3 linked regions of the Mus musculus genome follow. The protein of the gene in region 2 interacts with the protein of the main gene of each other region in a pairwise test. Links are inferred from orthologs where the notes say so. Each region holds a gene or a part of one and is shown on either strand. Other genes may lie near its edges. The genes, in order: Lrif1, Tk1 and Unc119.

What was found.
Region 1: the proteins of Tk1 (region 2) and Lrif1 interact in a two-hybrid assay, tested with the Homo sapiens proteins (2 studies listed by BioGRID and IntAct). The link is inferred for Mus musculus from reciprocal best matches to the Homo sapiens genes TK1 and LRIF1.
Region 3: the proteins of Tk1 (region 2) and Unc119 interact in a two-hybrid assay, tested with the Homo sapiens proteins (2 studies listed by BioGRID and IntAct). The link is inferred for Mus musculus from reciprocal best matches to the Homo sapiens genes TK1 and UNC119.

Annotation. Positions count from the first base shown.
Region 1 is NC_000069.6:106,720,407-106,724,558, reverse strand, and holds the start of Lrif1 (ligand-dependent nuclear receptor-interacting factor 1), read right to left. Parts: upstream 2,878-4,152; 5' UTR 2,515-2,877; coding exon 2,453-2,514; intron 1-2,452. UniProt on the Homo sapiens protein: Together with SMCHD1, involved in chromosome X inactivation in females by promoting the compaction of heterochromatin.
Region 2 is NC_000077.6:117,815,943-117,819,569, forward strand, and holds part of Tk1 (thymidine kinase, cytosolic), read right to left. Parts: intron 1,250-3,627; coding exon 1,160-1,249; intron 625-1,159; coding exon 505-624; intron 331-504; coding exon of another isoform or gene 241-330; exon of another isoform or gene 204-240; intron 198-203; coding exon 9-197; 3' UTR 1-8. UniProt on the Homo sapiens protein: Cell-cycle-regulated enzyme of importance in nucleotide metabolism. Catalyzes the first enzymatic step in the salvage pathway converting thymidine into thymidine monophosphate.
Region 3 is NC_000077.6:78,342,130-78,346,412, reverse strand, and holds the start of Unc119 (protein unc-119 homolog A), read right to left. Parts: upstream 2,919-4,283; 5' UTR 2,847-2,918; coding exon 2,627-2,846; intron 830-2,626; exon of another isoform or gene 731-829; intron 1-730. UniProt on the Homo sapiens protein: Involved in synaptic functions in photoreceptor cells, the signal transduction in immune cells as a Src family kinase activator, endosome recycling, the uptake of bacteria and endocytosis, protein trafficking in sensory neurons and as lipid-binding chaperone with specificity for a diverse subset of myristoylated proteins.

The sequences.
Region 1 (4,152 bases), on a different chromosome or scaffold from region 2:
TCCTTAAGGAATCTTATTTATACTTTATATAAAAAGCAAGGTTCAACAATTCAATTGCATAAGTCCAGTTAGCTTATATGGTGTTAATGTCTCTCCAAGTTTACTCTGAAGTTGTAAAGATAAAACTTTACAACCAAAGACATCAACCAGCAATGAAACATTTTCTTCCCAAGTGAATGAAGCCACATGCTGAGAGCAGTAATTTTAACTGGACATTTGTCTTTGTCTCATTTAATTCACAAATATTGACAAGAAAGCTTCTCAATAAATCTTAGTAATTTCCTAATAAGGTATGTGTAATTTTTATTCCATTTCTTTAAATCTAATTCTCTACCATCTTATCCAAGCCCTCGGATTTCTGAAGTCATCTGAAATACAATCTTCATTCTAAATCAGCACGGTCACTAGTTACTCAAACCTATTTTAATCTCATCAATCCTATTCCAAAAATTTTCTGCACACTCAATCTCCAATAGATGAAATAGTTACCAGACCAAAGCAAACGTTAGAGCTATTATGCTACCTGTGGTACACAACTGAGTAAATAAGAATTCAATGCAAATCTTAATAATTAAATGACTACTACACTGCAAATATACAGATTTTTGCATTGTTCTTATAAAACTGAGTTTCCTATTTTTATGCTTGATTAAATTACATACATTAAGTAATAAATATTCTCTATGACAATACTACTCCGAATATGTTATGATATCAGAAAATTTAAGAAATAAAAGCATGAAAATATAACAAGGCACAAGAAAATAAGCCAATGAATTAAAGAAGTTGAAAGTAACCAAAACATAATTGAATTTAAGATATTTTTCTGACTTAAAAATTTGCCAAAATTGTTAGAAAGTGTTTAAAAGAGAGCCCAAGGGCATAATAAAAAACTTTAATGCACCACTTAATCTTATAGGACTGGAAAAGAATATGATCTTAAACACATAAGTTATATCATCTATAATATATCATATACAGGTAAAACATATAAAATTATTGACTAAAAAGCATTTCTTCTACTTTTGCTTCTCTGTATAGGATACAATTTATCTTTAAATTTCCACAAAATACAGACTACCAAAGAGCCGTCTCTATTGCTATATAACAGTTCTTTCTATGTTAACAGCTCACTAGTTACTGTTAATGACTTTGGGGGGGGTACTTGCATAGTAACAGCTTCCTAAAGATTCAGCTACTGGCAAGGCTGACACAGGATGGTCACTTGTTTTTGTTAGAGCATTGTTTTAAAGGAAAATGTGTGTGTGTGTTTTTTTTAAAATCACTATTGGTTTTTCATTGCAATTTGGGTTTGTATATACTTGTAACTAAAAGAAACCTAGAAACAGGACACAAATTCATGTTCTTAAACTTGGAGCAAATATTTAAATAATCCTTTCTTTCTTAAATTATTTCTTTTCTGTTGTTATCAAAATATTCCCTGATACCATTATTTTTATTAGAAAGTGAAACATTAGTCTCATAAATGGTAACAAACAAAGCTGCAATAAACACCAGGTAGATTTTCTTTTTTCAACCACAATCCCCTTTCATCAGTTTTGCTCTTAGATTTTATGTTGTTCATTTACCTTCTACAGACTTACTAATCTTTGCTTCTCAACAAGCACTCATTAACTCTGGAAAGCATAAATTAAAGAATTGTTCCTTAAGGAATATTCTGTTGTTCCTGCTTTTATTTCATCTGGATTAACACAAAATTAAAAGAAAAATGTTACTGGTGATACATTTCCAAACCAAAGACTGTCAGAACCCTTTGTAATCCTAACACGAGGTAAACCCAGGCTGTATTGTGGACAGTCCTGGCTATAGTGAGTTTCCTACCTAACCAGAGCCATACAGTGTTCCAACTGTTCCTTTGTAGAGACAACCAATGAGATGCACCCCTTTTAGACCCGTTTCAAATGTGTTACCTGGAAAAACACATTTCAAGTTTTTACTTTTCTCCATATTAGTTGAAATTTTCAAATACTAAAGTCCCTTGTTCTAGAACACATTTTCTAAGTACATTAAAATGGGACTATTTTCACTTGAAGTTACAGCGCCGCGGGGCTGCACTTGCTAATCCACGATGGGTGTTTTGGTAAGTGTTTGAGATTCTTGGAGCATCGCCAAGTTGGTTTTACTTCCGTGGGTATCTACTTGTTCCGCCTATGAAATTCGAGCGGGTGGCGTAGGGCGCGCTGGGGGCCAGGAGATGGTAGCTGCGTTGTAATCGCGGGCTGCTTTACATTTTGGAGAGGACTGGGAGCCAAGGGCTCTGCACTGGTGTGCAGTGGGTGCGGTGTAAGGAGGTGTGCTGTGATGGCGCTGTGCTCCCACATCCCCGCAGCTAGCACCCGGTGCGCGCGGCTGAACGTCAGCTGACGCGGCCATGACAACCTAAGTCACAGGGTGTGGGCGGGCGCCTGAAGAACTGGGAACTGGTACTTACCAGCGCGAGCCTGACTTTTCCTCTGCGGTTTTCAGAATGACGCTCTGGAGACTATTAGACATTTTAGATGGGTGGGAGGGGATAGGGCAGTGAATACTGGGGGGACAGCGTCCCCAAGTAGGCGCGAACCAGAGCACGGGTGTGGAAGGGCAGCGTCTGAGGCGAGCGAACAGAAGGGTGTGACGGGAGATAGTTGAGAGGGCGGCTCCCCCAGCTTCCGTGGGAAGTGGCTGTAGAAGCCGGAAGACTCCTACCTCAGGCAAGCTCACAGTTTTCCGGCGAGTCTCTTCTGGCTACGTGACGCATCACAGCCAGTCAGAGAGGACGTGGGGGGCGTGGCATCAATAGCACCACCCACGACAGGGCCTGATCGGAGTCTGCGCCCACTAAAACCGAGCTCCTAGAGCCAGGGATCCTAGGCATACAGCTACGTCACATATGGTTACCAAGGCGAATGGATCGCCATGGCCCCGCCCTTATGACGTGGTCCAATCGACAGCGAAGGTTGAGGTCTCTTCTTCCGGATCAAAGGAGGAACTAAAAGAGAAAGTGCTTTCACTGCCTACATGAAATGAAATACTTCCGGTGTCAGGCTTAAATTGTCTGCACTTGTACATGCGCTTTTGCAAGCCAATGTAATAATGTCCTCCTTAGCAGTTTTATTCAGTAGACACAGATAGGCATTTGGTAGTTGCCATAAATTGTTGAAAACCTTTATCTCCCTTCTCATGGCTAGAAGTGATTATTTTTTTCTGTTTCTTGAAGTTTTGCTCTACATTAATCGATTAACCATTTTCTCCATTCCCACACTAACACCTCAGTTAAAACTGTATCTTACTGTCATGTATTCAATTCTTTGAGTGTCTGTGCATTAAATCCCCTGTATAAACTTTTTGAAACTCTTAATTTCCAGAAACCAGCTCTAAGAATTCTCTAGAGTCCTGCAGTTAATGACTATTTGAGAATTGGGATCATACTGTTTAATGGGTAGGAGGAATTATAGTTTAATTAGGTGTGGAATATTATGAAAGTGTTTTCAAAGATAAAATTTTATTTGACATAGGCAATCTTGTATGCTGCAGTGTTCAAATTCAGGACACTGATAAGGTAGACAATTTGAAGGTTTATATGGTTATTTAAAAATGGAATTACCAGGCTTAGTGACACACATATGCAATTCTAGCGCTTGGAAAGTACAAGCAAGACGATAGGGGCTTTAAGATCACCCTTGGCTACTTAGTAGAAGGCCATCAAGAACTACATGAAATCTAGTCTCACAAAAAGGGAAGAAGAAAGGTTTACTCATACCCCTAACTGCTAAACGTTAAAGATTTTTAAGAACTTCAGGTTTTGATATGTCAAGAGAAAGTATCATTTTCCTATTTTTGTATAGCACATTTATTTGACAATAAAGTACCCTGTTCTCATACTAAAGACATCAGGAAAGATAGGCAGACCTTAATGCTTTCAAGCTTTATGGCATCTTTTGTCTATGTAATCAAAGTTACTAGGAAAAAACAACAATGACAACAACAACTAAAACAAACAAACAAAAAAATCAAATGCGTTTTGCTACACATTGCTGTGCACACCTTTTATTCCAGAACTCAGGAAGAGGCAGGTGGGTCTCTGAATTTGAGGTCAGCCTAGTCACCAAAGTGAGTTTCAGGTTAGCCAGGGTTATACAGTGAGAACCCTCT
Region 2 (3,627 bases):
AGGTCCCCTCAGTTGGCAGAGTTGTATTGTAGGACTTGCTGAGAGGCAAAGAGCTTCCTGACAACCAAGGCCTCTCCCGGCTGCCCCAGCACCAGACAGTTCTTGTTGTCTGAGCCAGCAGTCTGGGCTGAAGACTTCTTAAAGTAGCACAGGCGGCACACGGAGTGATACTTGTCGGCTCCGCCAATCACCTCCACCTGGTGGGAGGGAGATGTGAGGGCGGGACTCAGAAGCCGGAGCCTAAGCCCACCCCACTCCTTGGGCAGAAGTGTGTGTGTGTGTGTGTGTGTGTGTGTGTATACCTCTTTCTCCAGGCCCAATCACCTCCACCTGGTGGGAGGGAGATGTGAGGGTGGGACTCAGAAGCCAGAGCCTAAGCCCACCCCACTCCTTGGGCAGAAGTAAGTGTGTGTGTGTGTGTGTGTGTGTGTGTGTGTGTGTGTTGTGTGTGTGTGTGTGTGTGTGTGTGTGTGTGTGTGTGTGTGTGTGTGTGTGTGTGTGTACCTCTTTCTCCAGGCCCAGCCTCTTCGTGTAGGCAGCTTCTCGGAAGCACTCCATGCACACAGCGGTGAGCTTCACCACACTCTCCGCCAGGGGCACCAGGTTCAAGATGCTGCCGAAAGCCTGCACGGAAGACAGCAGGTGTGTGCGGTCAGTTAGCCAGGCACCTCCCTCCTCTGCCTGTGTTCACATGTGTATGTGTGTGGGGGCCAGAGAGCAACGTCAGGAGCTGTGCCTCTGCACTGTCTACCTTGGTGCTTTTGGAAACGGTCTCTCACTGGCTTGGGGCTTGCAGTGTAGACTAGATCAGCTTGCCAGTAAGCCGCTAAGATCTGCCTGTCTCTGTCTCCTGGTGATAGCATTTTAAAGAGTCCTGAGGATCTAACTCGAGCCTGTGTGCTTTGCAAGGCAAGCATGCTTCAGCTTGAGCTCTTCCCACCGCCAACGCTTCTCTTTTAAACCCCATGATTCAGGCTACATCATACTTTACTGATCCTGCTTTCTTGAGAGCCACACCCTCCTGCTCTCTACCCTTTGGCCAGTTCAGAGCACCCACTAGCCAATAGCTTCTATTCTGAACACACCTACTTCTGGGGAGACCTTGTATATTGTTTCCTGCCTCAGGATCCTCTGCCAAGCCAGAGTCAGACATCTTTACCTTCCTCTGGAAGGTCCCATCCAGCGCTGCCACAATTACTGTCTTGCCCTCGTTGGCCATCATTTCACAGAAATCCACAATGTCAGGAAACTGGGAAAAGTCCAGAGGATGAGGTGAGCTGCCCCAGGCAAGGGCCTCACGAAGACCGTGGGGGAGCTGAGCATGCAGGTAAGCCCAGAGCCGGAGACCAGACCACACCGCCAGTCCTGTTAAGACATCCCACCCACTTGCCCACTGCTACCCAGAGCTTGCCAGCAGGCTCCATCCAGCATCTGAGAGAGGCCTCTACACACCAGAGAGGCTGGAACAGCAGCTCTCAACTTGCAGGTCACGACCCCCGGGGGCTGAACGACCCTTTCTTTCACAGGGGTCACATATTAGATATTTGCATTATGATTCATAACAGCAGCAACATCATAGTTATTAAGTAGCAACAAAAATATATAGAATAGAGTTTATTTAGGCCATGAGGAGGGGAGTTGAGAGAGTAGCAGAGGCAGAGAAAAGCAGAAAGGAGAGAATAGAGACATGGGGGCCGACCATGACCATGTGGAGAGTGGGGGAAGGGAATGGGGAGCAAGGGGGTGAGAGGCAAGAGTGTAAGAAACAAAAATAATCTTCTGGCTGGGGTCACCACACGAGGAACTGTATTAAAGGTCTCAGTTAGGAAGGTTGAGAGCCACCAGGCTAGAACTTTCCCCTACAGTTCCTGGAAGGAAGCGGCCCTGCCAACACCAAGGGTCTCTTCCTTCCAGAACGGTCAGTGCACAAAGCTCTGGGCTTAAAGTCCTTGCTGACTTCTGTTAGGGCAGACTTAGAAGCTAAACACAGCTCATGTTTAAAATGGGCTTTCAGAGAGAGAACTCGGGGTGGACGGCAGGAAAGAGCACGTGCCACTCTTGCAAAGGACCCAGTTGCCAGGGCCACATGGTCACTTACAACCATATGTTAATTTCAGCTCCAGGGGCCCTGGTGACCTCTTCTGGCTTCTATGGACACTGCACACATTTGATAGACATACATATAAAAATAGCAAACACTCATACATTTCAGGAGCAGACCAGGTAGCTCAGTTGGTAGAAGAGAGCTTACCCAGTGTGCATGAAGCCTTGGGCTCCACCCCCAGCAATAAATGAACCAGACACAGTGTCCAACACCATAATACCAGTACTTTGAAGGTAGAAGGATTACAAAGTTCAAAGCTATGAGATCCTGTCCCAAAACATACAGGGCTGGGGAGATGGTTCAGCAGTTAAAAGTATGACTCGTTCCTATAGATTACCAGAATTCAATTCCCAGTACCCACATCAGATAGCTTAGCTCCAAGGGATCTAATATCCTCTTTTGGCCTCTGCAGGCACCCATAAACACGCACACGCACGCACGCTCTTCAGCCCCCATGGACGGGTGGAGGGAGAGCCTAAGTGAAAACCCAGAGAATAAGCACCATGAGGTTACACTGGCATTTTCCCACCAAGAAATCCCACGTGAGAGAGAATGGCTCTTGGCAATGAGATGTGCGAGGCAGGAGCAGGTTGGCAGGGATAGCTGCCCTCCGGGGTCACTCAGGCCGGCCAACCTTCAATAGCACAGTGTCTCCCTAGAATCAAGACCCAGGCTTCTCTCCCCTGCCCAGCAAGGCTGGGCATTTTCCTTAATAGTTCTTTACCTTCTTTGTTTGAGATAGGACTCTCACTGAATCTAGACCACAGCCATTCAGATGGGCGACAGGGAGCTCCAGGGACCCGCCTGCCTCTGCCTCCCTAGTACTGCGGTTATGGACACGTGGCTATACCCAGCATTTTACAGGGGTGCTAGGGACTCACGCCTGCAGAGCCAAGGCCTCACTGTTCTGTCTCCCCATCTCTTCCATCTTTTGCTTTTGATTGGTTATTACCGTGTAACCCAGGCTGGCCTGGTACTCAAAGCAATCTCCTGTCTCAGTGTTCGTGGAGCTGAGTGTGCAGGTCTGCCACCCTGCCTGGTTCCTCAGACCTTTTCTTGAGCACACTCCTGCTCCACGCCTTAGTGTTCTAGCCTTTCTCTTCGTCCCCAGTCCCTCCCAGTCTATCAACAGAGGTGAGCTGGAAGCTCCAGATTTGTCTCCAGACAGAGAATGCCACAGCCAAAGGGCAGAAACTTGGAATGAATGTGATTGGTCCCTGGACCCAGCCATCCCCACAATAGTCACAGCATGTGACATGGCCTGCTCTATAAAAACGCACATGTATAATTAGAAGCGTCCAGGCTGGGCTGGCACTCGTCAGAGTCCTGGCCCTGACTGAACATAATCTCTTGGGCCAACATCAGGCAAGGCACCCTGGCCAGCATGAATATAGACCCATTCCGCCGTCTCACCTGAGCATCGACAAAACAGGCACAGTTTATGCCAGAAGCAGCCAGACAGGCACTGCCCTCCCTCCAGGCTCCAACCCTTCTGCCAGAAGACCCACGGGAGCCCTCTCCTT
Region 3 (4,283 bases), about 39 Mb from region 2:
GGTCTTTAGAGAAAAGAACAGAGGCCAAGGCAGAAAGGGTGTGGTGGACACAGCAGGTACAGCAGGGTAAAGAGGAGGCAAGAAGAGTCCTGGGCTCAGAAGGAAACCAAGAGAGCCAAGCATTGCCCAGGGGCGCTCATGGTCTTAACCGTTACCACTCTTCTGTTGCTGTTTTTAAGTCAGGGTTCCATGTAGCCTAGGCTAACCTCAAATTCACTATGTGGCAGATGCTGGCCTTGAACTCCCGATCTTCCTGCTTCCTAAAACCTTACACCAAGTCTTAGGGGAGGCCCTGGCAAGAATTAGGAAGGGGCAGAAAATTGCTGTGGAGACTTGGGTACTGCCAGCCTCCGGTACCACATCCTCTCCGCTGACCTACAGAGGCCCGGAAGTCACCCCCAGGTCCCTGGGCCACCCCCTATCCCTCTGTGGTTGAAAAAGGAAGTGAATATAAAGCTATTCTCTCATCCTTCGGCCTGTCTCCTCCCCAAGCCGGGGACAGCCCCCTCCAGGAAGCCCTCCTGACAGCTCTCTAGCTCGTTGGAGCTGAGGTCTGAGATAAAGCTATAGAAAGATGCTGCAGGGCAGAGGGAGAAGGGGGGGCAGAACTGGAAGCAGAGGCCTAGTTGCCCAACTCCCAGGAAAAGCCTCCTTTCTTACAGCAGGCCCAGCCTGGAACCCTCTCCTCTCACTGGGAAGGATTTCTCACACTCTGCACTCAGTCTCTTACACTGCAAACTCAACTTGTGGGCCTCTCTGCCCTTACAAGGAGCGAGGATCAGGGGCTGCCTAGGAAGGCAGCCACTTCCTCTCCTCAGCCAAGAAAAAGACGAGGCCTAGGACCCAAGGTCAGGCCAGAGTAATGAGCAGAGTGGCTCAGAACCCACCTGCTCTCGTCCTTGTGGACAGAAATAGCTTCCTAATCTGGATTCAAGGCCTGGTAATCCAGAAACAGCAAACCTCAGCCCTGTGTGATTAGGGTCACAAGATGCAGGCAAGGTGGAGAGGCCTGGAACCCTGTTTTCAAATCCTGCACAGAAAAGGGCTCTTAAAGAGGCACTTGTCTTAACTCATCCTCCACATGCTATGCCATTTCCTCCAGACTGGGAGACACATGCTGTGACTTCACCTGGAAGCTTCCTCCATTGCAAAATAAGCCTCCAGTTATCCAGGCCAGAGGCCAGTGAACCTGCCCTCCAACGCACAGGGCCAAGCTAAGCTGTAAGGTCTCCTGTTGCAAAAGGCAGCAGCCCACGGGCTTCCACATCAGCCTGGTCAAGGCCCCTCCCTCCACTGAGGGCTGCCTGGCCAAGGAAGCAAGTGCTGGGGAAGTCTAGCCAAGAATGCCGCTGTCTAGCCCTGGAAGGAGGAGGGAGGCCCCTGGGGACCCAGATGCACAAGCTCAGGCCTGTCATCCTGGTCCCCTCCACAGCTGTCTGGGAGCCCTGGGCTCTGCTGCTCCTGAGGCTAGCGGGTTTATTTCCACACTAGCACCCGTGTCCATCCCAGAGAAGGGAAGTCTAAGCTCACAAGTGGAGCCGGAGCAGGTTGCTGGTGACCTACCCATTCCAAGGCAACCCGCCACTGTCTCTCCAAATACCTTCCATTCCTCAAGGCTCAGCCAACCTTTTGCCAGAAGACTCTCTAGTCCTTGTGCACTGTCTGTAGCGGTGCCTGCCTTGGCCCTGAACGATCACTTATCTGCCTGCAGGCAGCCACTCTGAACAGTCCTATGTAGCTTCCAACACTGTTGATAAAGGAACCCTGTTGACAGCGTGCACAGCATGCCAAACATTGTCCAAAATCAGAAGACTGGCTTTATTTTTCACAATAACCTTGAGGGAGGTAACATTGTTCTTGTTCCCATTTTACAGATGGGAAAAAAAAAAAAAAAAAAAAAAAAAAGCAAACATGCTCCTGCAAATGAAATTACATCCCCAAGGTCACACAGCCAATTTCCGGGCAAACTCTGGGACTCTAATCCAGGTAGCACAGCTCAGAAACTCAGTTTCAGTGGAGACTAGCCTTCCCTTGATGAGAGAGCCCTGGAAAAAGAACAAGTCCTGACTTGGGGGGAGGGGGGTCACGCACTTGCTTCCATCACAGGGCCCACAGCCAACAGACGGAAGCACCCGTATCAGCAATGTTCCTGGGCAGAGTATGGCCTCAGCCTTCCTCGGGGAAGCAGAGTGAGGGCTATAACGGTCGGTCAGGGAGCCTGAAGGTTTTCCTTGCCTCCACCTAGCCTGATGTGGCCACTGAAGACAGCCTGCAATGAGGCACACTCCTCTGTGCGAGCACCCTCAAAGGGTTCCGAAGACTCCACTGGGGAAAGGGTTACAGATGCAGCTGCTGCCCCACCTCCACCATGGGAAAAGGGGTGGGCCCCTTGAAAAAGAAGGAGTGGGGTGAAAAGAAGCCACTTCAAGGAGAGGAGGGGGCGCATCAAGAGACCAAGGGAAAGAGCACAGAGATTTCAGGCTTGGAGGCAAAGAGAGAGAGAGTAAGGGGATACAGAGGAGGGGCACTGCGTGGGGGAGGGGTGGGGGCTGGACTCTGAGCCTCGTGGGCCCCCTCCCGCGCTCTCCCTCCAGCCCGCGGGTGGCGCTCCCTCGCCGGTGCTCACCACCCGTGATCCGCTGCAGCCCCAGCACATCCTCCGGCCCGATGGGCTGCTTGCCCTGCAGCGGCCCCAGCCTGGGCCCCGGGCCTGGCTCCGGCTCCGACTCGGACCCGGACTCAGCTTCCGCCCCAGGCTCCCGCGTGGGCTCCGCGCTCCGGTTCGAGGCCCCTGGAACGGGCTCCGCCCCCGACCCGGTCCCGCCGCCGCCTTTCTTCACCTTCATGGCCTCGCGGGGCCGCAGATCCTCGCCCGCTGCCACCGCCGCCGCTGCTTGCGCCGGCTGGAGCCAGGGGAAGGGGGAGCGTCCGCCGCCCCACCCCCGGCCGGGCCCCAGGTGCCGTCCCGCCTTGGTCACGCCCACGGGAGGCGGGTCACACATACCCCGCCCACCGCCTGGCGTCTCCAGCGGGGGAGCCAGAATCCTGGGGGTCCTTGTGAACTTTTTGACAATGTAGATTCTTTTTGACAATGTAGTTACCGAATACCTCTCCTCTTTCTCTCCTGGGTTCCAACCTCAAGGTCTTTCCCTGATACCTTTGTCCTGACTTCAGCCCAGGTCTCAACCCACCCAGTTCTAAAGTACTTCTTCTCAATTTCCAGCTAACCAGCCCTTTTTTTTTTGTAATACATTAAGTGAAATTCTTGCTTGTTCCCTGACCCTTCCTCCTCAAAGGTCAGCTCTATGAAAGCAGAGATGCTCTATACACTGTTCCTCGTAACACCCTAGCACTACCACACAGCTCCTTGCAGCCAGTACCCACCCAGTATTTTCCTTTGTTGAATTGAGTTGCTATCCCAGGGCTGTCACTGGCTCAAGCTACTCCCCACTAGAACTCCTGCTAAAAGCTGCTTCAGGCACCCTACAATCCGCAGGCACCCTACAACATGCAGGCAGCACAGCCCAGGTGTCGAGCCGTCCCCAGGATGCTCAGGACGGGAGGCAGGAAGAACACATGGTGAGCTAGAACAGGTCAGTCTGCTTCTCACACAAGAACGAGTTATGGTCATCCATATCAACTCATATTCAACCAACGTTTAATAACAGTCTAATGTATGTTTTTAAAGAGCCCAATATACAGAACACTTTTACAGGCTTATCACATTTAATCCAGCCCCTTTCTGAGGGTGACATCATCAGTGCTTTCCCACCAATGGAAACCTGAGGCTCAGGTGAGGAGCGAGGAGCGGCTTAGCTGATGCTCTCTAGTCTGTTAAGTGCAGAAGCCGGAGTCTGATTCAGGCCTGTTGGGTTCCAAGTCAGAAATGTTTTCTCCTGTTCCACACTACCTCTCTGAAAGGGTAGAGGGGAACCTTAGCCACAAGGTAGAAGATCCTAAGCCACTGCCTCCTAGACCAGGCTGTCCCCAGTGGGTGACGCCAGTCAAGAAGCTGAGGAAGGAGGGAGGTGGTCTCAGAAGTGGAGAGGACAGGGCTACAATTCAACTCAAGTACTCCCCTAAATTCACCTCTCAGTGCGTTTGTATGCTGTGCTGACAGGCTGCAAGGACAAAGTACCCCTGTCCAGAGGTAGGCACACAAAGGCTTTCAAGTTCGAGCCAGATATGGAGATCAGGAAGGGTACCTTCTGAGGCTTGTAGGCATGGAGGAGCAAGCCAGTGGACTAGGAGGGGAAGGGAGCCCATCGTGGAGTGCCATCCGT